Drosophila melanogaster: one gene and its partners. The protein of the gene in region 4 interacts with the protein of the main gene of each other region in a pairwise test. Each region holds a gene or a part of one and is shown on either strand. Other genes may lie near its edges.

The links.
Region 1: the proteins of lwr (region 4) and p53 interact in a two-hybrid assay, tested with the Drosophila melanogaster proteins (4 studies listed by BioGRID).
Region 2: the proteins of lwr (region 4) and Su(var)2-10 interact in a two-hybrid assay, tested with the Drosophila melanogaster proteins (2 studies listed by BioGRID).
Region 3: the proteins of lwr (region 4) and Hsp27 interact in a two-hybrid assay, tested with the Drosophila melanogaster proteins (one study listed by BioGRID).

Annotation. Positions count from the first base shown.
Region 1 is NT_033777.3:23,048,179-23,057,007, forward strand, and holds p53 (p53), read right to left. Parts: upstream 5,905-8,829; 5' UTR 5,831-5,904; coding exon 5,787-5,830; exon of another isoform or gene 5,728-5,786; coding exon 5,404-5,727; exon of another isoform or gene 5,217-5,403; coding exon of another isoform or gene 5,179-5,216; exon of another isoform or gene 5,022-5,178; coding exon 4,941-5,021; exon of another isoform or gene 4,871-4,940; coding exon 4,834-4,870; exon of another isoform or gene 4,771-4,833; coding exon 4,744-4,770; exon of another isoform or gene 4,738-4,743; intron 4,726-4,737; coding exon of another isoform or gene 3,511-4,725; intron 3,053-3,510; exon of another isoform or gene 3,042-3,052; coding exon of another isoform or gene 3,012-3,041; intron 2,947-3,011; coding exon 2,637-2,946; intron 2,573-2,636; coding exon 2,326-2,572; intron 2,264-2,325; coding exon 1,869-2,263; intron 1,810-1,868; coding exon 1,787-1,809; 3' UTR 1,479-1,786; downstream 1-1,478. Other genes in the region: Gr94a (gustatory receptor 94a), read left to right, coding at 3,511-4,725; Ctns (cystinosin), read right to left, coding at 6,345-6,450, 6,551-6,653, 6,710-6,998, 7,185-7,545, 7,611-7,793, 7,864-7,960, 8,021-8,075.
Region 2 is NT_033778.4:9,114,411-9,123,219, forward strand, and holds Su(var)2-10 (suppressor of variegation 2-10), read left to right. Parts: upstream 1-1,711; 5' UTR 1,712-1,912; coding exon 1,913-2,041; intron 2,042-2,207; exon of another isoform or gene 2,208-2,746; coding exon of another isoform or gene 2,747-2,767; coding exon 2,768-3,442; intron 3,443-3,506; coding exon 3,507-3,747; intron 3,748-3,804; coding exon 3,805-4,039; intron 4,040-4,095; coding exon 4,096-4,262; intron 4,263-4,328; coding exon 4,329-4,417; intron 4,418-4,477; coding exon of another isoform or gene 4,478-4,489; coding exon 4,490-4,637; coding exon of another isoform or gene 4,638-4,663; exon of another isoform or gene 4,664-5,342; coding exon of another isoform or gene 5,343-5,421; exon of another isoform or gene 5,422-5,500; coding exon of another isoform or gene 5,501-5,543; exon of another isoform or gene 5,544-5,695; intron 5,696-5,889; coding exon 5,890-6,128; 3' UTR 6,129-6,367; coding exon of another isoform or gene 6,368-6,396; 3' UTR 6,397-6,406; downstream 6,407-8,809. Other genes in the region: Phax (phosphorylated adaptor for RNA export), read left to right, coding at 41-773, 829-920, 974-1,250, 1,309-1,523; GstE13 (glutathione S transferase E13), read left to right, coding at 7,944-8,038, 8,109-8,157, 8,212-8,748.
Region 3 is NT_037436.4:9,381,474-9,387,383, reverse strand, and holds Hsp27 (heat shock protein 27), read right to left. Parts: upstream 3,322-5,910; 5' UTR 3,199-3,321; coding exon 2,557-3,198; 3' UTR 1,690-2,556; downstream 1-1,689. Other genes in the region: Hsp23 (heat shock protein 23), read right to left, coding at 4,826-5,386.
Region 4 is NT_033779.5:538,196-544,417, forward strand, and holds lwr (lesswright), read right to left. Parts: upstream 4,386-6,222; 5' UTR 4,235-4,385; intron 4,185-4,234; exon of another isoform or gene 4,156-4,184; 5' UTR 4,053-4,155; coding exon 3,573-4,052; 3' UTR 3,514-3,572; exon of another isoform or gene 3,042-3,513; intron 2,974-3,041; 3' UTR 2,404-2,973; downstream 1-2,403. Other genes in the region: ush (u-shaped), read left to right, coding at 1-1,054, 1,115-1,257, 1,323-1,761; Spp (signal peptide peptidase), read right to left, coding at 5,046-5,154, 5,221-6,071, 6,138-6,222.

The DNA of each region.
Region 1 (8,829 bases), on a different chromosome or scaffold from region 4:
GGCAGCAGACTAAAAACGCCAACAAGCGACTGCGAATGCCAAACTACGTGTACAAGCTTTCGACTCTATAGCAGTATTTCCCCCCATTGAGTGAAGATCGCCAGCCGCTCGACGCTATCTGGTTTTCGTATCTACGAGCTGCAGATTTGAGTGGGCAGCGGTAGCACCTTTGAGTGGAAGCGCCGAGTCGCGAGTGAAGCTACTGCGTTTCACCTGACGTCTTAGCCCGGCTTTCTGTGGTTGTTTCCTTTTTTTGTTGTTTTTTATGTGTTTGGGCCATATTGTTTTCCCCACGCGCACAGTGGGAACTGCGGATGAAGATCGTAGCCGATAAGAGCCCAGCCGTGTTTGCTTTCCCTTTATCTGGTCCGTAAAGATGGGGTATCTGCCAGTTTAAAATGATAAACAACTGCTTGAATATAGTATGAGTCTTAATATCTTCCCGAAATAATTATGTAAATTATGAGTCACTGCCTCCCAGTGTGCGCCACTTTCGAATTGTCAACCTTTTGGCACCCGCCAATCAAAGAAACGTATTTAATTGGGCTTCTAAGGCGATTGCATCGCTTGGGAAAAGTGCACTGAAAAAAATATATACTGAAGTATATACAGCTGTGCTTATTCTGAGAAGTGGGTGATATTTAATTTTAGTGGATTTTATTTTTACAACTTTTGTTATCAGAATGACTTGTTTGGAAACCTCGAATAAATAATTAAACAAATTATGATACATTTATATTTGTTCTTTGTGCTTTAAGTATTACAGATATGTTTGCGTACTTTATTATTCTGTTACACAAAGCCGCATGTATGTTCCCAGTGCAGAAAGGTCTCTCGAACTCAACTCGTATCCAAAACCACTTTTCTGTGCGCTCGTCCAACGAGAATTGAGTGAGTTGCTCCGCTGGGTTTTGAGCACTTTGAACGACCCATTTTCGTGGTGCCAAACTGGTAGTGGAAGTGGCAGCCGGTCGAAGAAGGACAGGCCCCAAATGGAAGTGAGTGCATCCGCTTTGGCTGAATTTTTGGACACAGAGGCTATCATTCCGTTACGATTAGGGCGCACTTAATGCCCCTGCCCTAGGTCAATGAACAGCGATCGGTGGGCTAGAGTAAACATTTAGCTGCCGCATGTGGCAAAAGCTAAAGTCGCCTGCAGCTGCAGCGGCACAGTGTCAACATCTGGTGTTTGTTGCACTTTTTTGCATCCTCGCACATGTGCAACGCTGGCGCAACGCATGCGCCCTGCTTGAGGTTGTTTTTTTTTTTTTGAAAGCATAGAACTAAAACCAAAGACGTGCAGATACGGGTATAAATAAAGTATGTAAATGCGACGCAGCAATTTTGACATATTAGCAGCTAGCTAGCTGAGTTGCATCCTGAGTGCATTGACCGCACACAAGCCACACATGTCACATAGCATGTGCTCCACGGTGGGGGTACAGTAGGCTCTGGGCATTGGCGTACACCACGAGGATATGTTTGCAAAATATGACAACTCTTTAATAAATTCACTTTTGGCTTTTTTGTACAGAGTATGTTTGTTGTGGTAGACAAAAGTTACGTAGTCACATAGAACTGCAGTTAACAACAGTATACTATCAAAAATATAAAAATGTTTTCTTTTCGGCCATCGAACATGCCAAAAGGGGAATATCACCGTTAAACGCCTTACGAACAAGGACTAATACAAACTTAAGATACTAATAGCTATGTAGTATACCCCACAGATGCAACACATTTCAAAGGTATCTGATACCTGGGAGATTGTCGACCAGATCAGAAGTCATGGCAGCTCGTAGGCACGTTCTGAAAGGAAAGTTCGGTAAGTAAAGCTTAATCTCTTTGTCCTCCGATTCACTGCTTACTCTTAAGGCTCAGCAATTTGTTGGCATGGCGACGTAGATTCTCTTGGTTGGGATTGCGCAGGACTTCAGCCGCCGCCTCCTTAATCATGCCCTCGATGCTCTGCAGCAGCCATTCCTTATTGGGGCACGTAATAGCCAGACGGTAATCGCCATCCGGTGTCCGCGACACGTTCCACTCTGCGGCGGAGTCGTCGCAGTCTCGGCTATCATTGCTCTCCGTGTCCTCCGTCTTTATAGCAATGCACCGACGCACCTTGGACGGCTCATCTTCTTCGGCGGCTTCCGGCACGGACTTGCGCTTCTTGCTATTGAGCTGGCGTTCGTCTTGGATGCGATCCCGCTTGGGGCACGTACATATTTTAACATGTATAACATGCTGTCCCACGATATCGCCGCTGCAAGAAAGAAAACACGTTAAGCTTTGTTCTAGCCATCTAGAGTTTTGCTGTCACCTTACCATGCTTTCTCCAGGCAGAAGACTAAGGAAGTTTCTTTTCGCCCGATACACGAGTTTTGGCAGACGAACTTGAAGGCCAGGGTCTGGCGCGTGAGCCCACTGCGGGTTACAGACCGGCTCATGTTCAGGGGGACTACAACGGAAAAACGCTCGGAAATTCCCTTGCCCTGAGCATTTCCACAATATACACTGTTGGGATTCTCGCTGCGCAGCAAGCTCTCGCGCATTTTTGCGTTATTGGCCGTCACTAAAGGTTTGTACAAATGATAGTTAAATAATCCTGTTCGATCTGTATTGTTATCTTCACTTACAAGGCTCAACGCTAAGGTGATTTTGACAGCGGACCACGGGAGCACTCACATCATTGGAGAAGCAAAGGAACACACGCAAATTAAGTGGTTGGATGGGCATTTTAGACTTGAACTGAACGTCCACGTTGAAGGCCTTGTTCATCCGGATGTAGAGCTTGTTCAGCGGAATCGAGTACATCCAAAGAGACTTGGGCGGCTCATCCAGAACCATGCTGAAGCAATAACCACCGATGTTGTGATTCTCTAGCTTGGGCAGCGTGTTCGCCTGGATCTGAATGTCCTGCAGCATCATTTCGCGCAGCACGGATTGCTGTAAGCAAAAACAAGATATTATTTGAATGTCAACTTAACTCGCAATCATATAAGGGTTCACACTTTGCGCTCATAGAGCTGATAGAGCTTCATGTTCCAGCTTGCTCGAGTTACAAATGGACTGGCGATTTGTTTTGTATTCTATTCTATTTTTCACAAGTGCTTGAAATTCTCGCTAAACGATGACGACGGGAAGGAGTGCACCGTGCTAATCGGCTAGATAAGAGTGTTTTGTTCTGTCCTCCAACTGAAAGTGAACTTCGAAGCGACTTTGACGTCATGTCGCTCTTATGAAATTGCAGGCAGCGGCTGAGTCACGCAAGGAATGCCGCTTCCCTCACGCTTCTTATGCTCTTTTGTTTGTGGCTAGTAGTAGCACAACGCATGCTCAGTTGGTTTCTGGACGGCCGGTGAAATACATGCGTTTCGCGATGTGTCCCGATAGTGTCCGGCTACTTGACAGGTCCTCTAGATGGCATCAGTTGGGTAGTTGGAAAACAATTAAGCAGATATTAATGCTGTGGAAAGTGCGCTCACAGTTTGTATTAATTGTTCGAGAGAAATGGACTTCACCAGCGACTACGCGCATCGGCGTATGGTGAAATTTCTGACGATCATACTGATAGGCTTTATGACCGTCTTCGGACTCCTGGCCAATCGATATCGGGCGGGCCGTCGTGAAAGATTCCGCTTCTCAAAGGCAAATCTGGCCTTTGCTTCGCTGTGGGCAATTGCATTCAGCTTGGTTTACGGGCGGCAAATCTACAAGGAGTACCAGGAGGGTCAGATCAACCTGAAGGACGCCACCACTCTGTACAGCTATATGAACATTACGGTGGCTGTTATTAACTATGTGTCGCAAATGATAATCAGTGACCATGTGGCCAAGGTGTTGAGCAAAGTGCCCTTCTTTGATACCCTAAAAGAATTCCGTCTGGACAGCAGGTCGCTGTACATATCCATCGTTTTGGCTCTGGTCAAGACCGTGGCTTTTCCTCTAACAATTGAAGTGGCTTTCATACTGCAACAGAGGCGGCAGCATCCCGAGATGAGCTTGATCTGGACCTTGTACCGGCTGTTTCCCTTAATTATTTCGAATTTTCTCAATAACTGCTACTTTGGCGCAATGGTGGTGGTGAAGGAGATTCTGTACGCTCTGAACAGACGGCTGGAAGCGCAGCTGCAGGAGGTGAATCTGCTGCAGAGGAAGGACCAGCTAAAGTTGTACACTAAATACTACCGCATGCAGCGATTTTGCGCCTTGGCGGATGAACTCGACCAGCTGGCGTATCGCTATAGGTTGATATATGTGCATTCGGGAAAGTATCTGACCCCAATGTCCTTGTCCATGATTCTGTCGCTCATATGCCACCTGCTCGGAATAACGGTGGGTTTCTACAGTCTGTACTATGCCATAGCGGACACCTTAATCATGGGCAAGCCGTACGATGGTCTTGGATCGCTGATCAATCTGGTTTTCCTCTCCATCTCGCTGGCGGAGATCACATTGCTCACGCATTTGTGCAACCACCTATTGGTGGCCACCCGAAGATCGGCAGTCATTCTCCAGGAGATGAATCTCCAGCATGCGGACAGCCGCTACCGTCAGGCAGTCCACGGCTTTACTCTGCTGGTCACGGTGACCAAGTACCAAATTAAACCCTTGGGCTTGTACGAGCTGGACATGCGACTGATCAGCAATGTCTTCTCGGCGGTGGCCAGCTTCCTGCTGATCCTCGTGCAGGCCGATCTGTCCCAGCGCTTCAAGATGCAATAGCTAATCGATGTTACCCACCTGGCTGAACTGCATCAGATTCCCGGACTGCGGGGAATAATATTAAATAGTTAGTAAGCTATAGCTTTGCACATTAAAAGCACAACTCACGTTTAATCCCTGCAAGAAGGCCATGGGTTCCGTGGTCCTGGAATAATAAAAACAATAATAGTTAGCAACCAGGCAAACCACATGTGACCACGTGACCAGGTACTCACAATTCCGATCCCGATACCTCCACCGTTTTCGGAATATCCTCCTTGATATCGACCTCCGTGGAGTCATCCTCGGAATCAGTGCTAAAGTGTAAAAGGGAAATAAAAACTTAGTGGCAAACTGCGCCTTGGCTGGATAAACAAACACAAACAAGTTGGCCGCGCGAATGATGCAAGTACAAGCGTGTTGCTACATGCAAGGTTTCTACTGTTCGATCATCAATTTGTTGCCGCACTGTACCTTTCTTTGTGCCACGACATTGGCTGTGATATATACATCTTAGTCGGCTATATCTGATCAAGCGATCTTGTTGGGGAAGGAGGCTAAATATTAAAAATTCGCTAACAAAAAACTACAGAATCGTAGTGGCCACCGACTATTTGGATTTTGCCATTCGCCACGCAGCGCGAACAATCGCCGTAGCCAATGTTTATCGATTGGAGCGCGTGTTTTGAATTTGCTCACCCCTTGTGGCAGACGAATTTGTTGCATGCATTAATTTTGTTATTGCCATCGGAATTATTGTTGGCCAAAATTTCCAGATTGTTCGTGAACTGCATCATGTTGTTCGTGTTGTTGCCTCCGTAGGCTGGATCCACAGGCGTAGCCAGGTGGGCATATTCGTTGGATTCGTTGCCAAAACTCTGCGGCAAGTTGAAAGCTCCGTTGCTGGAGACCCGAACTGCTGACTCTGCAGAAACTTCGTTGCCGATATCCCAAAAATCCAGGAACTCCTTGAAAGCTTCAAAAATTGTGCGACTATTGCTACGCGAAACAATCGAAGTGTTTCTGCAAAAAGGCGCAACATTATTTTGTTGGGTAAGACCGAATAAAATATCTCCGCTCACTGGTTAAAAGTCAAGCTAAACGACGCGGACTTGTGAAGACTCATGGCTGTGCACTCAAATAAATAAATTTTATTTAGCAGTTGCGATTTGTGTCCGCAAGAATCTTCCGTGCTCCAGGGATGTCAACTAACCGGAAATTGGCTAACTTAATGTCATATATCCATGGCTATCGATAAGCTATCGATAAGGATTTGGCCGAGTGCGAACAGTGCTGCCCATTGTGCGGCAAGTTAGAATTTCTGTTTTGAAATTTTTTCAATACTTCAATCTATTTATTAGTTTGCAAATAACGCGCCGTATGCAGCAAATTGGTTTCACTGCACAGCCCTTTGAATGGTCGAGCAATGTACCGTATGATTTCTGGCTCCTACAAAAAATTAAGTTTTATTTAATGGTGAAATTCCAAATTTTAGTCAAACTAAATTTCAATTAAAACGCACGAATTATACAAAGCTTAGGCAGCTACGGCATACGGATATATTTACAATTCTAAAAATGTACATAAAGCGCTACTGGCACAAAAGTCTTTCTCTACAGCAGACATATGATAATGCAGCTCTAATATTTCTCAGTCGTCACTTCGCTCGGCGGCGGCGACTCATTTGTTCGATTTTGAACATCGGTCACGGTGGTGAGGTCAGAGCTCGAGGATTCCCTCGAATGCCTGGGGAGAAATGGAAAACAGCACAGCAATAATGATAAGTGTACAGTGGAGATGACATAATCGTAGATTAAGTATCATATTCACACAATGTTTCAATCACCTGTAAAACACATAGTGCTGCAGCATGAAGAACACATCGAAGAGCACGGAAAACAGACCCAGTCCGAATTTGGTGGGATCACCGAAAATCGACACCCAATCATCTGGAAACCAGACACGATTTCATTCGAAAATCACAAATTGATAGACTATATCCTACCGTAATTATGAGCATTCAGAATCATTTGCAGCATGCTCAGCGTTCCTCCCGTGAAATCCAGCAGAATGTTGCCGATGCTCCAGCCGGAGGTGCTCTTCCGGCGATAGTTCATCAGAGCTTGCGGCACGTACTTGATGATGGTAATGGTTAGCTTGACGTAACTGCAGTAGTACAGAAAGTCCAGCCAATGGATGACGGATCCTCCGGCCAAACCGGCAGACACGACGACCACCACGGCGAAGATGGCCAATATTCCGTAGGCAATGAACGACACCCTTTGCTGTGCTCTCTGGACAAATTTAACAAAGTATGGATGTTTTACAAGTCAAAACCTTATCTACTCTTCATATCGTAACTATCCGCTGTGATTCAAATGATTTGGCATTTTGATTGATGGCAATTAGTGTTCAATGCGACAACTGTTGCCACTTCGGCGATAAGGCTATTGAATGGTATTTGCTATATATATTATTACCTGATAGAAAAAGCACTGAAGGATCGTAATGCAGGTGGCGAACATGGCATGCAGTGAGAAGACCACGTCGTTGAGCATCACAGGATTCACTCCCAGCGGATATCGCACCTCGTACTCGTTCTGCAGATCCTCGATGAAATAGAGGCCGCAGTTGAACATGCTGTACAGGGTGAAGCCCACGATATTGAGGGCCAGGAAATCAAAGTTCAGTCCCTCGACGGACTTGCGGCGATAGTTGCTCCAGATCTGCGGATAGAAGGACACCGACCAGGCCACAAAGTAAACCCAGCCAAAGATGATGGAGGTGTAGATCAAAGCTCTCGATTTGGCCACAGTCACGCGTACGAACACATCCTTCACACTGGAAAATAAGTGAATTTTCCAATTAGGTACGGGAACAGTTGGGATTCCCGTGAAGTTACTCACATCTCTTTGTTCGCATCATCGCTATCTGCGACCACTTTGACGTTGCCGGCTTTGAGGCCAGTTATCACCACCGACTGATTTCGAGTACTGCCCGCTGGATACACAAACGTTGCGGGATCGAGGAGCAAATGATCCTCCGAATCTGTTCCCAGCGCAACTTCCACGTCGCTGTCTAGCAATCCGCTGTAATGGGCACAATAGATTTACGATGCCATATGTTTTGGATTTGGATTTCCCGGCAATGGCAACTCACTTGGCGAACACCAGAAAAGTCTCGTTGCTGTTCAGCAGAACGGTGATGTCATGGGAATCGACGGTGAGCTGACTGCTTTGGGCATTTCCCAGGGCAACTGTGGGCAGGAGAAATTCCCTCATTATTAGATCGCAATATCTGGATTGCGATATCTCACCTGTGGCCAGGAGGAGGAGCAGCAAAGTGGTCAGGCGGTGTGTGCTGAAATCCATTCTGCTTGCGTTCAACGTTCAACTTATTCATGCATGAGCATCCAGTCCTGCTGGCATCTTCTTCAATGAAGCCCTATATGGTATTGTATTGATTCAATTGTGAATTACTTCAATTGACCAATTGACCACGATCGGGTGAAATTGATATCTACTCGTAGGAGTATGGAATGCAATTCCTGACACCTTTTTTTTTTTTGCTTCTTAATTTAATGACCCGTGCAGACACTCAATCAATAAGGAATATAATATGATATAAAATGATATAAACATAAAACTATTTGTTCCAAAAAAAAAACTTGCAGTGCAAACTACGCACGCTCGCTTCATCTGGAATTCGTGTGTGTTTTTGTCGAGATAAAAGTCGGTAACCTTCATCAAATGTCGCTCAATGTTACAACTTTGCAATTGGAGCACACTTTCCCACGGCAAGCGTTGGAGCACCCATTTTATGTGCCTATATGGCCCAAATGGACGTAACAGGAAATACATGGGCTTTGTCGGTCGATCGTAAAACCAAAAGATTCCCGATTGTTCATACTATATTTTTTATATGGCGAGGGCCGTGACTTGGCGATTGCCAAGAAGTGTAAAACACCGCGTGAGAACGGGCTTATCTCAATCAATGGAGCTAGCTGATAGTGTCCGTCGAATTATTGCGGCAGTCTGCCACAAGTTGCAGATAATCAATAGATTGGGCAATGCACTGCGATTGCAATACTAATCGCAAGTCACGATCCAAATTTTGGTTCTACAT
Region 2 (8,809 bases), on a different chromosome or scaffold from region 4:
ACTACCGAGCATCTAATGACCATATCTGCCGGCCTTTCAGCTATCGGAGAGCGACGATGATGGCGTTTACACGCCGTTGCAGCGACCTGACGGTGCGGAGAAGGTGGCCAGTCCCCTTACCACCTGCCATCAGATCCAGACTGCGTTAGAGGACGAGTCACAAAGCAACAGCGACTCCTCGACTGCCGAATCCTCCGAGGACGGGTGCATCAAGAAGCTTCGTACGGAATCCACCGGACCCGACGGCCACAAGAAGCGGAAAAAGCGCATTCGGCGCACGGTAATGCGGCGCGTTCCGCCCACGGATGCTGAAATGCAACCGAATCGAGCCCGTTTCAAGAAGTACAACGTGTGGGCTTCTGCCCTGCAAGAGGATGCGCTCAGCGAGAATATGCGTGGCTGCGACGTTACCCGAAGCGGTCGGGATCGAAATGTTGAAAACTACGACTTCTCATTGCGATACCGGCTGAACGGCGAGAACACTCTAAAGCGACGACTCTCAAACTCTTCGGAGGACGGCGGCGAATGCTCCCATCCAGCTCACAAGAGGGGAAGACCTTCTAGTCGGCCCATCACCGGGAATCAACAGCGCGGTTTGGTCAAGAGTAGAACGGGTCACCGGTCACGTCGTGGGACATCTTCGGCCAGCGGATCTTCCGATTTCTGCGAGCCCAGACACATTCTGGACTTAAACGAAGTGGGTGAGAGAGATCCTTCGGATGTGGCTACCGAAATGGCCAGCAAACTGTACGAGGAAAAGGACGAATTACTTGGTGAGTATGTGAAATAAATAATGCCCTACTTAGTAAATAATGCCAGTTTTACCAGTTCGAGTCGTGGAGGTTCTTGGCATAGATGTGTGCCTAGAGCTATACAAGGAAACTCAGCGCATTGAAGCCGATGGCGGCATGATGATCAAAGTAAGTAGTAAAGGATGTTCCCCCGAATATACTAACACGATACCTCGAAACAGAACGGCATACGGAGACGTACACCAGGCGGGGTATTCCTGTTCCTAATAAAGCACCACGATAACATCACTCAGGAGCAGCAGAAGCGCATTTTTAGTGAGGATCGCCAGAGTCTGAGCAAGTCTCGAAAGCAGATCGAAACGTTGATGCGGGACCGTAAGGTGGAAGAGTTGAAGAAGTGCCTCAGCAAGCAGGTTACGGAACTGCCGACGTTAAATCAGCGCAAAGAGTACTACATGCAGGGCGACGAGCAAAGTGAAGATAAGCAACCGGGCAGCTGTAAGAAGATCCCATTATTATTGTTAAATCTCCTATGTGACTATTTTGACTATTTCAGTGTCCAACCCGCCACCCTCCCCTGTTGGCGCTGAGCAGGAGCACGACAGCCCTGAGTACAGGACCCACGAGATCAATATAAATCTTGTGGACAATGCGGAACTTCCCTCCACATCCAAAGCAGCGGCGGCGGCTCAGGGAGCGCCGCTGAAGGATTTAATCAGCTACGACCACGACTTTCTGGACGTCAATTGCGGGGACATGGACTTTTTCTAGGCCCACGCCAAGCGGCGGGCCCCTTTTATACTATTCTTGCATAGATAGACCCATATTTGTACAATTAAATAAATGCCTAGCGAATTAGGAATCTACGAAAGTAACGGTTGCTAACAAAGTAAACAAACGCACGCGTTAGGGCATTTTCGGGCTGCGTGAGACAAGACTCGGCCAGGCGGTAGAGATTTCCGCAGTGTCGATCGATAGTGTCAACTCTAGTCGGCCCACAGCGACGACGCCGCGTAAAATATTTTTGTTTCTCCGCATTCGTTGAAAAACAGCGGCAATTGCTTGTTTTTATGTGTGGTGCGCGTCCCAGGCAAATGCAAACGAGTCCGCGACTTCAATTGCCGAACGCCTAACGCCACCGTGAATAGAAAATAATAGTGATGCGAAAGACCCGCTCTCAGACGGCTCGCACGCAGGCGGAAAATGCCGCAACATCTTCGAGCCCCGGGCACCAGTCGACTTCGTCAGCGCCAATAGCAGTTAATCCCTTTGATTCCACCAAGTACAAGGTATGTTTCCGCCAGTCTCAGTTTATTCAGTCCAAAGAATTTTTCATAAATATGGGGGCCATGGTTATTGATAAGCAGTGTGACCGCAGAAAAAAATGGTGTCTGTACCCTTCCCCACCCACGAACAGAGTGATTTGCCAGCCAAATCCGCCGGCGCTTAACAACACTATCATCCGCCATATTTCTTCAGACCGTGCGGACAAAACAAAATTCGTGTGACAAAAAAGGGGGCATTTTTGCGGTAGTTTGTTTAAGTGCAATTTGCGAAAGAAGGAAGGCTGCCAGTGGCGAACACAAGCCTTACCAAATTTTCTGCATATACCAACGTTAAAAGCCACTGAAACCCGATCGGTTCCACGAAAAGAAACTTTTTGCGAGAACGCCATGTTTGAGCATCTAGGTAATGATTTGGTGGCATGCGGCAGTTTCGGACCAGTAAATTATCCACAGATGGGAAAAATGTGGAAGCCAGGCTTTTGTCCGACTGTCAAGCAATCACTTGGCATATAATGTAGAGCGAATTTATGATTTTTTCTGCATAAAGCCGCACAAGGCATACGCATGTGTACATATGTGCGAAAACGCGATATTTGCATATAGAGCGCGCTTGTGTGTGTGTTCGTGTGGACGCTTGGTGCTAAGTCCCGCTATTTGGACATAGACACCTTCCCAATTTTCCGAAATACAAAATTTTCATTGTTCGCCATGCCATTTCCGTCTCTTCAGGAATGTGAGCAAATGGTGCAGATGCTTCGAGTGGTCGAGCTGCAAAAAATCCTGTCGTTTCTGAACATCTCATTCGCTGGACGAAAAACTGACCTGCAGAGCCGCATCCTCTCGTTCTTGCGCACCAACTTGGAACTGCTTGCCCCGAAGGTCCAGGAAGTCTACGCCCAGTCCGTGCAGGAACAAAACGCCACGCTGCAGTACATCGACCCAACCAGGATGTACTCGCACATCCAGCTGCCGCCCACCGTGCAGCCCAATCCCGTGGGCCTCGTGGGCAGCGGCCAAGGTGTGCAAGTGCCCGGCGGCCAGATGAATGTGGTCGGCGGCGCACCCTTCCTCCACACACACAGCATCAACAGCCAGCTGCCTATTCACCCCGATGTGCGGCTGAAAAAGCTAGCCTTCTACGATGTACTCGGAACGCTAATTAAGCCTTCAACTCTGGTGCCACGCAACACTCAGCGCGTCCAAGAGGTGCCTTTCTACTTCACGCTCACGCCGCAGCAGGCCACCGAGATTGCCTCTAATCGCGACATTCGCAACAGCTCCAAGGTGGAGCACGCCATTCAGGTTCAACTGCGCTTTTGCCTGGTGGAGACTTCGTGCGACCAGGAGGACTGCTTCCCGCCGAACGTAAACGTCAAAGTGAACAACAAACTCTGTCAGCTGCCTGTAAGTATTATCCGATTATCCAATCAGGACCTGGTATAATATCCTGCTCTTTATTCCAATGCAGAATGTCATTCCTACAAACCGACCAAATGTGGAGCCCAAGCGTCCGCCGCGACCCGTTAATGTCACGTCCAATGTAAAGCTGTCGCCTACCGTCACCAACACCATAACGGTTCAGTGGTGTCCGGACTACACTCGTAGCTACTGTCTGGCCGTATACCTGGTAAAGAAGCTCACCTCAACACAGCTTTTGCAGCGAATGAAGACGAAGGGCGTAAAACCAGCGGACTACACGCGAGGCTTAAGTGAGTTTTCTGTGCTCCAATGATGCAAACTTAATAATAAATACCATTTTTTTAAAGTCAAAGAGAAGCTGACTGAGGATGCTGACTGCGAAATAGCCACCACTATGCTGAAGGTTTCCCTTAACTGCCCGTTGGGCAAGATGAAAATGTTGCTGCCTTGTCGAGCATCAACCTGCTCGCATCTGCAATGCTTCGATGCCAGTCTCTACCTGCAAATGAATGAGCGTAAGCCCACGTGGAACTGCCCTGTATGCGACAAGCCGGCCATTTATGACAACCTGGTCATAGATGGGTAAGAAATGTCATTTCATTTAGCATATTTGTAACTGATTAAACTCTGTTTTCCAGCTACTTCCAGGAGGTGTTGGGCTCGTCGCTTCTAAAGAGTGATGATACTGAGATTCAACTTCATCAGGATGGATCTTGGAGCACACCAGGACTACGGAGCGAGACGCAGATCCTTGATACGCCTTCAAAGCCCGCCCAAAAGGTTGAGGTTATATCGGATGACATAGGTAATCGCCTAACACGCAACCTTTTAAATTGTTTTGACATTAATCAAGTTTTTCGGACATTACCAGAACTTATCTCGGATGACGCCAAGCCAGTAAAGAGGGATTTGTCCCCAGCACAGGACGAACAGCCCACATCAACGTCAAACAGTGAAACTGTAAGTAGAGAGCACCAATCTACAACCTACCAAACTGTCTTATCATATGACTGTATTCTGTCTGCGCAACAGGTTGACCTAACGTTAAGCGATTCAGACGACGACATGCCGCTGGCTAAGCGTCGTCCGCCCGCCAAGCAAGCCGTCGCCAGTTCCACGTCGAACGGCAGCGGTGGCGGCCAACGTGCCTATACCCCGGCACAGCAGCCCCAGCAATCCGGTACGTTGGATCCCTTTTTGCAATAAGCCAGTAACGAGAATTATATCTCTGTATAGCCAAGAAATCTTTATGTTTACAAATTGCTAATTGTAGACCCTAGGGTAAAGTAGTTATAAGAATCCATACACATCCCATTTACATACATCCACACTGACTCAACCACGCTTCGGCACCAATAATTTAGACAAAGGAATGAAATCCTAACAAGATCAAGCATTTAGGTTTCGGTTCACCTTTTACGGCACACCTCTAGGACATCATTTAACGTAAAAGTATTTTTTTGGTGCATCAATTGTCTTAAATAATATTAGAAAATTTTAACTGCAAAAGTTCGAAAGAGTATTCACATTGTCCAAAATGAAAATTACATATATGTTACATATGATTCTGACTTCATCATCACTTATTGTTATTCAAATATAATTAGGTCCCCGATTCCGCTTATGACTTTAGTGCATCATTTGATTTTAGTATGAGTACACCCAGTTAAAATTAACCCAATTTTACGTGTAGTATGTACAAACATATGTTTATGTTTCAAAAAAGTGACCAGAAGGGCTATTTATCATGATAATTTTGTGTTAGATCTACGGAGTCCAGCATCGAAAAGGTTTCCGTAGATTTCGTAAAATCCCCTAGCCAAAACTTGTATAGACTAAGTAGGCTATAAATTGACTCTATCCGCTTTCGTTGCTTGTATTGTAGGTGGTAATGTTTTTAAAAAACCTCAGAAAGCGGAGGAGCTTTACAAGCGTGTTCATTTAGGAGTTTGGCTGCGCCCACGGTATGTTTTCCGTCGATCGATTGTGAAATGGTTCGGGTTTGGAACAAGAATCCCATACTTAATCAGAACATTCTTACAGAAAACCCAAGCCAGAGAGCTCAAGGCGCCCAAACGTCGGCTAAGCAAAGTTAATAGAGTATTTTTCGGTTTTATACCACCATTTGTCCTAATTCATTTTCAATGTATTTTCTGTTGTCACCGAATCTAAATTATTTCACGATATGTACTCTTATTTTAAGTGATAATTTTAATAAATCATGCCAGTTTGTTAGTGAAGGTTTTTGTTGAGAGCCTCTTTTCCGATTGTTGTTGTGTTAACCTAAACCCAAGGTTATATGATGATAATAACTAAACTAATTCAAGTAACTTGTGCATTTCTTTGTCTTTTTTCTTTCTCTCTCTCTCTTTCTCTTCTTCCCCTGATCTTTTTGTGTGACCCGTCCATGCTGCCGCCGATGCAACTCGTAGAATCCCCAGAACAGCAGGCCAGCCGCCAATCGCCAGAGAAGCAGACAGTCTCAGAGCAGCAACTGCAGCAGCAACAGCACGAGCAGCCAGCGACGGCAGCCGTCCATGCCTCCCTCCTGGAATCCCTGGCTGCTGCGGTCGCGGATCAAAAGCACTTCCAACTGTTGGATCTGGCTGCGGTTGCGGCTGCTGCAGCTGCCACGGCGTCCTCCGGCCAGAGCCAGAATGCCGGCCCGTAGGCAGGACCCACATCCCACACACATTAATCGCACATCTCGCGGCTCGCGGTCTCTTACTGTTATGGTCCCTATATTGGCCCGTCCAGTTTCTGTTTTCGGTTTCACTTCCGGTGGCGCACGGCCACATATTACCTTAGAGGCTATTCTTCGGCGTTCGATTCGCCGCCTTGCATCACCTCATTATTCATACTCTATCAATCGCGAGCCACCAACTGATGCTTGTAATTCTTGTGTTGCAGGACGCAGGCATAACAGACAGGTTTTGTAGGAGAGGGTCCCCTGTTCCCGAATGAATCCATGTGCTCCCCCATCGGCCAGATTGTTGCTGCCCCTTTTTTCAGTTGGCTCACACCAAAACACTTTGCTTACGTCCCGTGTCTTTTATTCGTGTCGTCTCGAGTAGTTAGTTGTGTTACGCTTTGCCAGCGCTCTCAGCAACACACGCCACACCACACAGCAACTGAAATATTCCTAGATATTGCAAATACACAAACTAGCACCAGCATTAATTAGCAATTACTATAGGAAACGCAATTAATTTATTTTCCATTGAAGCGGTCAGCGCAATGAACACTATGAGGAAAGCGAAATGAAAGGATGCATGCCAGGCGGCGGCCAGTCGCGGCACCAAAATTTAAAGTAGTTAAGTTATTTTAGTTAAACTACGGATTCTGTACGGATTGGAGGCGGTGCTGTGTGCAGTTGGAGGGTGTTGCAGTCCTCGCATTTAAGTTACGTTGCAAGACAGGGCGGAATGGCATATGGCATTAAAGGTCCATAGTATTGAAAGCAATCGAAGCCGTTTTTATCAATGCAAATCGATTGGAAACGACGGATTATGTATGTTATGTATGTCGTCCAGCTAGACGCTCAGTTTATATGACCTCCCTGGCCTTTGTTGGCGTATTTAAGCTCAAACCGTACCACCACGGATTTATATGTTAAGATTTAAAATTGAACAATGCTTTGACTATGACATGATGCAAACCCCCTAAATATCTGAACGAACAAATATGAAATCAATGTACAAGGAGATGTGTACTTTAACTATACGATTAAACAATTTTCAACCAAGACCTGTCGTTTTATTTACCAACGGGGGTCAAGCTCTGTTTTAAGATTAAACTGATTTTTCAATTTTTCATTCAGCATCCCGTTTCTAATTGAGCCCACCTGAAACCTTTTCTTTACTTGCAGAGGATAATGACGAAAACTGTATGGCTAAGGCCAAAGAGGATTCCGTAATTGATCTTCTAGATTCGCCATAAATCGCCGCCGCAAAGATCTTACAAGTAAGGTCCTACAATATCATTAGGCGACCCAAAGAATTAGACTTGGCCTGTTAAGTTAACTTAATGCGCCACAAGTGTATTGTAGCATTCTAAGTATGTTATATTTTTCAGTAGTTTGTATACAAATATTAGCTAATGATTGACTTAAATGAGAATAAATGGCTTAAGACAACACGAATTAGTTGGGATTATTTTATAGCTGCATTTTAAATTTCGCGCCAATCAGCTGTTTTTCACTTTTTGAACAGGTTGGCAGTCCCAGTACAACTTTTACTTTTGTTCACGCGCGTAGTTGCCATATTTTCAGGGGGGTTTCTAATACAGTTTCTTTTATTTAGGAAAAAGGTTTTTTTTTTTAAGCAGTACTTAATGAAATAGTAATACAATGGAACAATTAAAAAATCTTTGAAATGAGAAGTTGGAATTGCAAAATGCATTAGGTCTGTTCCCTGTTAATCTGCGCCCATGCCGCTGGCTTCTTGTTCACCTTGATCGCCATTTGGTGTGTGAATTCTTCGGGAGAATGTCGAAGCCAACGCTGTACTACGCCCTTTTTAGTCCTCCTGCCAGGGCATGCATCCTGGTGGCCAAACTTATTGGACTGGACCTGGAGCTCAAGTAAAAGAACCAAAAGAATGGTGCACTTTTAAATGCAGATTGCTAATGCAAGATCTTTTCGAATCCTTAGACCCGTTGACTTCGCCAAGAAGGAACACCTGAGCGAGGAATTTGTCAAGGTTCGTTGGATTTGAAAACCGTTGATTTCGTTATGTAACGCTGGCTTCCTACAGCTAAACCCCCAGCACCAGATCCCGGTGTTTGTGGACAGCGATGGCGAGGTCTACGTGGACAGTCACGCCATCGTGTGCTTCCTGGTAGCCAAGTACGCCGGGAATGACCAACTCTATCCGCGGGATTTGAAAAGGAGAGCCCACATCGACCATCGCATGCACTACGAGAACGGAGTGCTATTTCAGGTGGTAAAGGACATTGTGGCTCGGAACATTTACGGTGGCGAGGGAGAATACAACCCCCGATCGCTGACCCTCTGCCACAATGCGTACTCCGACTTGGAACACTTTCTGCAGCAAGGAAGTTTCGTGGTGGGCAACGAACTGAGCGTTGCCGACGTGTCCATCCACACCACTCTGGTGACCTTGGATCTGCTCATACCAGTGGAACGGGAAAAGTACCCGCAGACTAAGCAATGGATGGAACGCATGGATAAGTTGTTGCCCGACAACGAGGAGATCAACCTCAAGGGTGCACGGGCTCTGCAGACCCGCATCCTGAGCTGCATGGCCGAGAACAAAGCGAAGAGCCAGTAGATTCCTTCTTAATGAGGCTCTCATGTTACACATTCACAGCCAACGTTTTGTGTTCCCCATG
Region 3 (5,910 bases), on a different chromosome or scaffold from region 4:
TACCATATACATATATGTATGTCCACTAAGTTGTCCATGCCAAAAAGCCCAAAAACCAACCAGAGACGGTAATTATTTAGTCCATGTGTAGGATGTGTTTTGTTTCTTAACTTCTAAGTCAAATGAAATTTTAAAAAATTGATCTGTGATTAAGCGTCATTGAATATACATACATAACGTGCATAAATGCAAGCAAAAACATATTGACAGCAGCCGCAGCCGTAGAAAATGCAGAAAAATACATAAAATACATTTTTACTTAACATCAACTAAGATAAAACCAACAACAGCAACATGACAACCACTAAAAGCTTTTTCGCGGTTAACAGCGAAAGCTCCACGGAGCCGAGAAAACTGAGATATATCCGTATCTCAACACCCAGCTGAGAAATATGAATGAAAGCCGTTTTAGATATAGATATAGAATTAACAGTAAATACTTATGATCGCTACAAGTTACGAGCATAAAACAACCAATATGAAATCAGAACGGGCAACTAAATTTTTTATTATGTATTAAATATTTAAATAAATATGTGCAAACAATTGATTAAATTATTTAAATGTCGTTCTTATCTTGGATTTTCTTTCAGTGTGCGCGGAACTGGAAATATTTGCATGACGTTTGTCAAAATGTAATTGAAAAACAAAAATCATTTCCCATTTTTTTTTATATCGATTTCTGAATTGTGCAAAATCATTACAAATCATCATAACAATCGTCGACAAAGGTTAAGCAATTGGCTGACCATTTAATTTTCCACAAGTCCAATTCAAGGACAAGGAAAACAGAATATGTACATAAGACCCCTTGAAAGTTAACGACACCCAACAAAAGCCGGTTTACCCTAAATGCAAATACATTTGCAGATTCGAAGCTAAAAAGGAAAAAAAACCAACAAAAACTCGACAGCTGACTTCTTTTCGTGTATTTGTATTTATTGTATTCGTTTATTCACAAATGAAATGCAAAATTCTCCCGAGTGTTGCGCCTGTTCTTGTTACAAAAAGTATAAACTCAAAGGGAGCAATGAATCCTCCAGTTGTTTAGCCTAATAATACACACTAAAATTTTGTTTTTTTTATGCATTATGATAAATGGAGTTTAAAATCACTTAGTCTAGGATGTTATGATGATGATGTAATGATGTGATGTGTGTGAATGTAATACATTGGGTGTGTTGTGGTGTGTCCTTTTTAGTCTTGCTCTCTCCGAGCAGCGCGGCAACACTCCCGTTTCTTCTTTTAAATTCTTCTTTCTCTCGTGCTTCGGATGTGTTTTGTTTCTTAACTTCTAAGTCAAATGAAATTTTAAAAAATTGATCTGTGATTAAGCGTCATTGAATATACATACATAACGTGCATAAATGCAAGCAAAAACATATTGACAGCAGCCGCAGCCGTAGAAAATGCAGAAAAATACATAAAATACATTTTTACTTAACATCAACTAAGATAAAACCAACAACAGCAACATGACAACCACTAAAAGCTTTTTCGCGGTTAACAGCGAAAGCTCCACGGAGCCGAGAAAACTGAGATATATCCGTATCTCAACACCCAGCTGAGAAATATGAATGAAAGCCGTTTTAGATATAGATATAGAATTAACAGTAAATACTTATGATCGCTACAAGTTACGAGCATAAAACAACCAATATGAAATCAGAACGGGCAACTAAATTTTTTATTATGTATTAAATATTTAAATAAATATGTGCAAACAATTGATTAAATTATTTAAATGTCGTTCTTATCTTGGATTTTCTTTCAGTGTGCGCGGAACTGGAAATATTTGCATGACGTTTGTCAAAATGTAATTGAAAAACAAAAATCATTTCCCATTTTTTTTTATATCGATTTCTGAATTGTGCAAAATCATTACAAATCATCATAACAATCGTCGACAAAGGTTAAGCAATTGGCTGACCATTTAATTTTCCACAAGTCCAATTCAAGGACAAGGAAAACAGAATATGTACATAAGACCCCTTGAAAGTTAACGACACCCAACAAAAGCCGGTTTACCCTAAATGCAAATACATTTGCAGATTCGAAGCTAAAAAGGAAAAAAAACCAACAAAAACTCGACAGCTGACTTCTTTTCGTGTATTTGTATTTATTGTATTCGTTTATTCACAAATGAAATGCAAAATTCTCCCGAGTGTTGCGCCTGTTCTTGTTACAAAAAGTATAAACTCAAAGGGAGCAATGAATCCTCCAGTTGTTTAGCCTAATAATACACACTAAAATTTTGTTTTTTTTATGCATTATGATAAATGGAGTTTAAAATCACTTAGTCTAGGATGTTATGATGATGATGTAATGATGTGATGTGTGTGAATGTAATACATTGGGTGTGTTGTGGTGTGTCCTTTTTAGTCTTGCTCTCTCCGAGCAGCGCGGCAACACTCCCGTTTCTTCTTTTAAATTCTTCTTTCTCTCGTGCTTCGCCAGCGAATCTCGTCGTCTTCTTCCTCCTTCACGACTTCTTCCTCTTCTAGTCTTCTTCCTCTTCTCGTCTTCTTCATCTCCTAGTCTTCCTCTTTTCGTCTTTTACTTGCTAGTCTCCATTTTCTCGCCGCTGCCATTTTCGGCTTTTCCATCGCCAGCCTCGGGTGCCGGTGCCTTGACGCTCAAATGGGCAGGCCCCGTTTGCTGGATCTGGACAATGCGCTCCGACTTGGCCTGTTCCTTGCTGGGCGGCGGCGGGGCCTTGAGGGTCAGCACACCGTCGGATGAGACAGTGGACACTACCTCGTTGGGGTCAAAGCCCTTGGGCAGGGTATACTTGCGCACAAAGTGACGCTGGATCATTCCATGGCCGTCCTCGCGCTCCTCGTGCTTCCCCTCTACCACCACGGTGTTGTCCACCACCTTGACGGTCAGCTCGTTGGGCTTGAACTGCGACACATCCATGCACACCTGGAAGCCATCTTTGCCCACGGCGGGCAGCAGAGCGTTTGGACCCCCCGACGCGCGACGTGACATTTGATTGTGGTGGCCATGGCTCCTCTCGTACGGCGAATAACGACGACGACCCAGTCCCAGGGTGTTGGGCAGTAGCAGGCGACGCGGATGGAACAGATCGTGGGCATGGACGCCAAAACCGAAGTCATCCTCCAGCAAATGCCCCCAGTCGGTGCGGTAGTCATGATCCAACTCCCGGGCCAAGTGCAGCAGTGGTATAATTGACATTTTTGATTTTTTTTCTCTTTATTCACAACCCTGTCTAGACAAAGGAATTTTTTTTGCTTTTTCGAATTTTTTTAGCGAAGTTTGCTTCAACGTTTGCCTTCAATTTTTCAGTTTAGACTGTGCTCGGGCGACGTTGACGCCGGCTTTTATACTGACGCTGGGCTCACACACACTAGTGCATGGCAACCAGGGACGGAACTTTAATAAAATGATGGGGGGTTGCCATCTTCGTTAGATTTTGCCTGCAGAGAAGGTTTTCCCTATGATCCCCTAATGCAAATATAATAATATTTAGATATAGGCAAGCAATTATTAGCCTGTCAAACTTAAAATTTAAGCGACATTTAAAAGCCCCTTTGAATACGCCCCGTAATTCAACAAACAGTTTTCTCTCGCATCTTCTGGCTCTTTCTAGCACAGCCGGCTTTTCATAGAGAGAGGGAGAAAGAACCAGAAACTTCTTGACATTTCTTTTCTGGGGAGTTTCTCTTTGCGAATAAAAAGCAAAACGAACAGTTAAAATGCAGTACATACATATGTATGTACATGTACGTATATATGCAGATATATGTATTTATTTAAAGCATTTTCTTCTCTTATCGCTCTTTTAAAAGCTGTCTTTTCAGAGTGCAACAGAGCTTGTATTTTCATTGGACAAGTGCATTGAACCCTTGTCTCGCTTCGTTCTGCTCCTCATGTTTGCCGTTCTTTTGTTTGTTGCAAACATTTTTGCAGTTGCTTTCGCCACTGCTTCGCGAAGTGGGAAACGGGGCAATTGAAAATTTTGCAAATCATTGCCAGTCTGTTGCAAGTGTTTCGATTATTATATGTACATATGCATACATTTCTATATATATGTATATGTGTATATAGAATCTTTTTATTCTTGGTTCACCAGTTAACCAAAATACATAATTATTTTCAAAACTACATGCATACATACATATGTATGTGTATGTGTGCATGCACGTAATTATTTGCGGTAACATACAAAAATGAAGTTCAATTTATACATGTACATAGGTACGTGCTATAAGGACGTACATAACGTACATCTCTTGTAGAGATGACAGAAATTCATTAAAAAGAAGAGAGTGAAAAGGGATGTATATTCTTATGTACGTATGTATGTACATGATGTACTTATGCATGCTTTACATAAGGATTTAACCTTGACTGAAGTTCCTTACATTCATAGCTTCAAGTCTCTTTACCGAAGTAATGTAAAAAGTCAGTTATGTACACAAACAACAATTAAATAAAAATGCCATTTTACGTGACACAACAATGCAATATACAATGCAGAAAGTAAATTCTAGAAACCGGGATCACAGGAAAAAGGGCCAAGCTAGCCAAACAATTCCCAAAGTAATAGTAATAGTAACCCATAACCAACCAGAAAAACAGACCAAACACAATTATAAGTAAGTGTACTTGTTATTTATTTTTATGGGTAATATTAATTTCGCCAATTTAGTAATACATATTCCAAACTAAGATTAAAGCAGGACACCCTTAATGGCTATTGTGTATGAGTGAAGTGTCCTTGGATAACTACAGCTTATAAAACAGATGTATGACTTTGATAATGGTTAAATAATGCAGGGCATCTCTCGGAACGAGTCCTCTACTTATCGTTGCCATTGTCCTGCTCCACCGCCTCCTTGGGATTCTCCTTCACATTGAGATGGGCGGGTCCCACCTGCTGGATCTGAACGATGCGCTCGTTGCCCTTATCCTCGATTGCCGGTGGCTTGGGCACCTTGATGGTCAGGACACCATCGGAGGACAAGGTGGAGGCCACCTTATCAGCCTCATAACCGGGTGGCAGAGCATAGCGGCGGACAAAGTGACGAGTGATGAAGCCATGGTCATCTTCGCGCTCCTCATGGTTGCCCTCCACCAGGACGGAGTTGTCCTGCACTTTGACCACCAGTTCGCTGGGCTTGAAGTGCGACACATCCATGCAGACCTGGAAGCCATCCTTTCCGATTTTCGACACGGCTCCCGACGATCCCGACGAGGCGCCCACCTGTTTCTCCAGCTGGCGCAGCTGCTGCTCCATCGGTCCAACCAGGGCCAAGTAGGGATTCCTCTGGCGCTGGCAGTAGTAGGGCTCATAGAAGGGCACCATCGACATTCGGCCCAAATCGTCGGCAAGGCTCAACAACAATGGAATATTTGCCATTTTTGTTTTTTAATTGCTTCAAGATGATTCTCCTTCAAAGAATAAACTTCTTTTGTTGATAGGTTACTTTCGCTTTAGCTGTTATCGCTTTGGCTTTTTGAATTCAACTGACGCCGGTTGCACGAAAGTGCCGGTTATTTATACAACCGCTCGCTATCGTAGTGTGCGTGCGCCCGTCGGCGCTGTGTGTGTGCGCGTCGTGTCTGTGTGCTAGGGGGCACAAACATCGACATCGAGAAGGGACACGAAACTTCTCGGGCTGAAAATATCGCAGAGTTCTCGAATTTGCCGCAATTACGCATTATCTGCCATTGAAAGTGAGAGTATCGCTATGGAAAATGAGCAATCTCCTAGGGGAGTGGGAATGAAAAGGCCTGGTGGAGTGATAAGTCGCATCAGCACCGGCAAATATTATGTGTATGTATAGATGTACGTATGTAAGCACGTATGTATGTACATACATAGCAGATAGGAAGGTTGGAGTATATTCCACGAAGGATGGAGTAAATTCGCGAAACTTCGAG
Region 4 (6,222 bases):
GCGCTCCATGCTACCTGCGGACTTTGGACTCTCCGAGTCGCTGTTGGCCAAAACCAACCCGGAACTGGCTCTGAAACTGGCGGCGGCAGCGGCCGCAGCTGCTGTGGCGGGCAGTAGTGGAGCAGCAGCCTTCCCGCCCGCTTCTCTTCCTGCCCAAACTAGTAGTGGGAATCCGGGTAGTGGAGGATCGGCAGGTGGCGCCCAGCAGCCTCAGATCTATGTGAAAAAGGGCGTGTCCAAGTGCATGGAGTGCAATATTGTGTTTTGCAAGTATGAGAACTACTTGGCACACAAACAGCATTATTGCTCGGCAAGAAGCCAAGAAGGTGCGAGTGAAGTGGATGTCAAGTCGGCCGTTTCACCATCCATCGCTGGAGCAGGAGGACTGGGAGCCGGAGCTGCAGAGGCTGCTTCGTCGGTGGAAACCACACCGGTGGCATATCAACAGTTGATCTGCGCCGCCTGCGGAATTAAGTACACTTCCCTGGACAACCTGCGAGCCCATCAGAACTACTATTGCCCCAAGGGAGGAGCAGTTGCTGCCCCTGCCGCGACGCCCACGGATCCTGGCCAACTGGGCATGCCAAAGGAGAAGTGCGGAAAGTGCAAGACATTGCATGAAATTGGTCTGCCTTGTCCACCACCCGTTGCGAATCCTCTCGCAGCGCCGACAGTCAATCCGCAACCCGCCACCAATAGTCTGAACAAGTGTCCTGTTTGCGGGGTAGTGAGTCCCACAGCAGCACTGGCCAAGAAACACATGGAGATGCACGGAACAGTAAAGGCATACCGCTGCAGCATCTGCCAGTACAAGGGGAACACTCTTCGCGGCATGCGCACCCACATTCGAACCCATTTCGACAAGAAGACTAGCGACGTAAACGAGGAGCTATACATGACCTGCATCTTTGAAGAGGATGCTAGCGCGCTGAGTCAGGAACTGGTTACTCCAACAGGGGCATCTACCACAACTGGACACGATTCCATGGATCATCCCTCGCAGATGTTCAACTGTGATTACTGCAACTATGTCTCCACCTACAAGGGCAATGTGGTGCGTACTCCTTTTTATTGCTGCCAGACCAAAGAACTCACTATAGCTTTTTCCTTACAGCTGCGCCACATGAAGCTGATGCATCCCCATGTGGCCATCAACTCTCCCTCCATTTCCCCCGACACCAGAGATCAAGATGTGACTTCCAACCCCACTACCAACCAACACTCGAATTCCGATGTATCCAACGGTGAAGCACCCAGGTAAGGATGACAGGAAATTATCTACATTCTTATTACTATATCTTCTCTAACTTCCTCGTCCACAGTTTCCACATTAAATCGGAGCCTCTGGATCCACCACCGACTGTGAATCTGGTGCACGAGAACAACAACTCCCCGATCGCCACGCCACATATTAAGGCTGAGCCAATCGAAGTCGGAGCGGATGCTGCGCCCGGCGGGCTGGTTCCGCCGATGACTTCTCCGCTGGGAAACAGCAGCAGCGTGGCTGCCGCAGCAGCTGCCGCCGCCGAGGTGATGAAGAAGTACTGCTCAACCTGTGACATATCCTTCAATTACGTGAAGACCTACCTGGCTCACAAGCAGTTCTACTGCAAAAACAAGCCCATTCGCCCCGAGGCCAGCGACAGCCCCAGTCCGAATCACCTGGGCGGAGGCGTTGCCGTGGGCCTGGGCATTGGCGGCCTGGTCGGCGGACACGGCCAGCAGAAGAACAAGGAAAACCTGCAGGAGGCGGCCATTTGAGAAAGCCAGCTGCGGTGGGAGGCGCAGCGCAAGCAGCTTGAGTGGTATTACACGTGCTTCTAAGCAGCAGCCCAACCCAATCGAAACTAATCGAATCCTAGCCTCCTTTAAAAATGTACACTATCCAAACCGCAACCAACCATCGACGACAGTATTCCCGGAAAATCTCCCGTCGCTGCCCTCCACTTCCAACTCCATTTGGGGACTGACTCCTTCGACTTACCGATCGATAGAAGTAGATATATACATCGTACTCCCGTACATATACAGTACACCTAAAGGAATAACACATAGATACTTAGGTACATTAATTTAGGCGCATACCCATTAAGTGGGAACCATGACATATAATGCATGCCAAAGCTTACCACTTAGACAGAAATTAAATTGAGGGCGAGAAACTACAAGTTTGCAATGGTCTGCGGAGTAGAAGGAGGCGAAGTATTCCAATGTAGATCCAATACTATAATGTAAATTACTCGCTGTTCCCCATAAAGCGAGCAATTCTAACTGTGTAATTTAAATGAGTACATTATTTATTAAGTGTGTGCGACAATAAAAGTAATTAATTTATTCAATATAAAATATAGTGAAATTAGTAACTAAACGACATTTTACATTTTTGAATTCAACGAACGATTTGAGTGCTGCCAGATTAGCGAAAAATGTTATGACGACATAGTTGCCAGATTGATTAAAATATTGTCAAACATCGGACATATTACCGGATCAATAGAAAAATATTGTGGCATCCCTAATAAAAGAACCGTTAGATTAGACCAGGCATCAGATAGATCAGCTGATCGTTGGTAGCCTACTAGAAGTTCTGTTCGCCTGGTACTCAGAATAGAGCATGCCCACCAAAACCAAGACTTTGGGAATCCTGGCGGTTGTTTTAAAAACACCTTTCCACGCTTATGCTTCCCTGGTAATTCAGTTCGAAATATATGAGCATCCTCGGGAAAAATAATAAATTCAGCTGTCAGTATGCCGGATTCCCCAGACTGAAGTACCAGGCGAACACAAATCTCAGTAGGTGTTTTAACTGGGCATTTTTCAATATGGCGGCCTCGTTGGAAATGAACCGTTAGCTGGAAGCATTGCTATATCAGCAGCGAATGCTACCAGATCAGCCAAAAATTATGCATAGTAATGTTGGCGGACTTGCCAGATCAGCTGAAATAGTTGGGAAATGTGACCAGCTTCAAATGCCTAAAAATCAAATAAAATATAAAGGTAAAAATGGACTGAACAAGTTTTTAAATAAAATGCTTAAATTTAAAAATAGTCATGTTACTTAAATAATAAGCAAAAGGAAGAACTTTATATGGAATAATTCAAGCACTAAATCCAGCTGTACGGCTACTGACGACCAACAAGTGCTCGACTGCACATTTGCTGGGAAATCCTTTCCGCTTTAAAATGCATAAGCTTTTACAACTAATAAATTTTTATTGAAATTACATAGGTTTGTACGTAGTACTCGCGATACAAAATAGCCCGTAGAATAATCGGCACCTGCACCCAGAATGGAAGCTGAAAAGAGCGTCGAATTCTGGGTGCCACGTGGCCACTTTGGGCCTCATCGAAAAATTACAGGACTTATTTGTATTTATTCAGATGGTACATGCTGGTAATTAAGCAAGTGCAGAACATTAAAAAATTAGATGCTTCGGGCCGCGGGGGCTATCCAAAATTAGTCGATTCTTTAAAAGTAAGTAGACGTGGAGAGCATTCCAAACAAACGCTTACCGGCTAGATGTGTGTATTTGTTAATGTCTATGTGGTAAAGGTGGTTGGCAGGAGCCCGACTACTCAGTGGCCGCCATGGCGCGGGCCTGGGCACGCACGCGCTTCTCGTACTCCAGTCGGTTCTGGCAGTAGATGGTGTAGGCCTCCGCCTGGGCTGGGTCCTTGATGTTCGGCTCGTTGAGCAGGTCCTGGATGCCCAGCAGGATTTGCTTGATGGTGATGGCGGGGCGCCAGTCCTTCTCCTCGTCCAGCAGCGACAGGCAAACAGTGCCCGAGGGATAGACGTTCGGGTGGAACAGCGGCGGTTCGAACTTGCACTTGGGCGGCGAGGTGGGGTAGTCGTCCTTGAAGATCATGCGCAGCTTGTAGAGCCCGCCCTCCCAGGGGGTGGACTTCTTGCCGGGAATGGCGCACTCCCAGATCATCAGGTTGAGGGTGCCGTCAGGGTTCTTGGCGGGTCGTGCGACGAACCCGAATGGGTGATCCTTGCGCCAGGCCTTGCGCTCCTCCCCCAATCGTGTAATAGCAATGCCGGACATGGTCGTCGCTGCTTGCTCGCTTCTCTACTGCCGCCCGAACGTGTCCTCGAGTCCTGGATTTCCGCTAGCAGTCCCACTTGGCCTTTTTTGCACGCGCGTCTGTCTGCGAATGTGTGTGTGTGGGTAAGTGGCCTACGAGGGGCTTTGTCGCCTTTTGGCGCGCTAAGTGCAAGAGCACCTACCTCTCTGTTCGTCCTTGCGTCTCCAGTGGTTCCAAGCAAATTAATTATTTGCAATCGCGGGGGGAACTCGCGCTTTTCGCAATTTTTACCGCAATTTTTCAGGAATGAACGCTTGTGCTCGCTAAAGGTATAAGTTTTTCTACACAAAGGGTCTCACTATGCGGTTATCGATATTTAGTGTGGCCGTGGATAAACAGTGGTATTAAAATACTGACTTTTTCAAAGCACTTTTGTATTATGTTTTAAATTTAAAAATTCTTTGGATTTTGGTAAGCTCAACTTAAAATGTATTAGGTTTTTCTCTTAAGCCGTTACATTCCTAAAAACCCTCTACTCAATACAAAACTAGTTTAATTAAACGTTAGAATTAAAATTTATTCGCATTACTGTTTACACAAATTACTGCATTAGTTTTAAGAAATGCAATGTAGAATTCGTAGTCAAAATTGCACTGTTTACAAAAATTGGAATATATTTGTATCTAAACTGTTCTTAAACATATAAGCCTCCTGTGCGGAGCCACAGAAATATTTGAAATACATATTTAAATTGATTGCGGTAAAAAAGTCGAGGGAACATTTTCTACAATTGTAACCTAACCGAACTAAATAAGATTGTTGTGCCTGGCCAAGGAACGTACATAACTAACTCAGTAAGTGAATCGTCTTTTGTAGCGGTGTTAGTCCATATGAGCTATGGACTGCGGTAGATGGAGAAGCCATATCGAAACGAAAGGGAGCTTGGCTAGCTGCAGAAGACATTTACGATGGAACGAGTGGGGATGTTGTTCGGATGTTGCGTCCTCCCGGCTCTACTTGCCCTTTTTCGACTCCTTCTTTTTGCTGCCGGACGAGCTGACGCCCTCGTCCTTCTCCTTCTTCTCCTTCTTTTCGGGCTTCTCCTCGGGATGATCTTCATAGCTGCAGTGGGGGCGAGAATGAGTTAGTTTAGTTTCAAGTCGAGCGCCCAGCGCAGTCCACACTTACGCAAAGAGCACCTTCAGCTCGCCGCGGATGAGGGCCACCAGGAGGGGCGTGCCCATGCAGGCTGGCACCAGGTAGAGCAGAGCCGGCTGCGCATGCTTGAACACATGCATCACGAAGATGGTGGCCAGCAGGCCAAGGAAGTAGGCAATCAGCGTGGAGTAGAAGTAGATGCGCGTCTTGCGCTTCTTGCTGTCGTCGAAGCGCAGCAGCAGAGCGATGAAGATGCCCGGAATAACGATGTCGCCTAGTCCCAGCATTGCGAAGTTCGAGGCGTTCAGGCCGTTCTCGATCAGGTCCTGGGGGAACACTAGCTTGATGGGCGCCTCGAAGCTCTTGGCCACGGTGACCATCACGTTGGTGCCGAATACCCAGAAGATGTCGTAGAAGAACAGGCCGCTCAGCAAGATGACGCCCGTGACGAAGTTGTTCAGGTGCAGCATCTCCACGCCGTTGATGGCGAAGGCCAGACCGAACAGATTGTTGGCGATCCAGTGCTTCTTGAGCAGGTACCACACTCCGATCGCCGAGGAGATCACCAGGCAGACAATGTCGTGCGTGGAGAACTTGTAGTTAACGATGTCTTCCTTGTGCTTGCCCTCCCCCTTAGTGAACAGGATGTGGAAGGGCACCTTCGGCACGGCGGCGGGCATCAGCGAGTTGATCACCGGACTGAGCAGGTGCGCCAGAGCAATAACTCCCAGCACGAAGAAGTAGCCGGTGAGCAGGTAGTTGATGTGCACCTTCTGGAAGATCTTGAAGAACAGGTACAGCCCGAAGAGGGCTGCCGACGCGATCAGCGGGAAGTACATGGCGTCTTTCTTGGTCATCGTGTCCGCCTTCTCGCCCGTTGACTGCAGGGAGTGGGAATTACGGGAAACATGTTAATGCAGCTTCCGGGCTGAGTCTGCTTCACATACCTTCTTCAGCTTGTGCAGCTTCACGGAGCGGATGGAGCCGAAGATGATGGGCAGCATGGCCATCACCACCAGGCTGCTGTAGGCC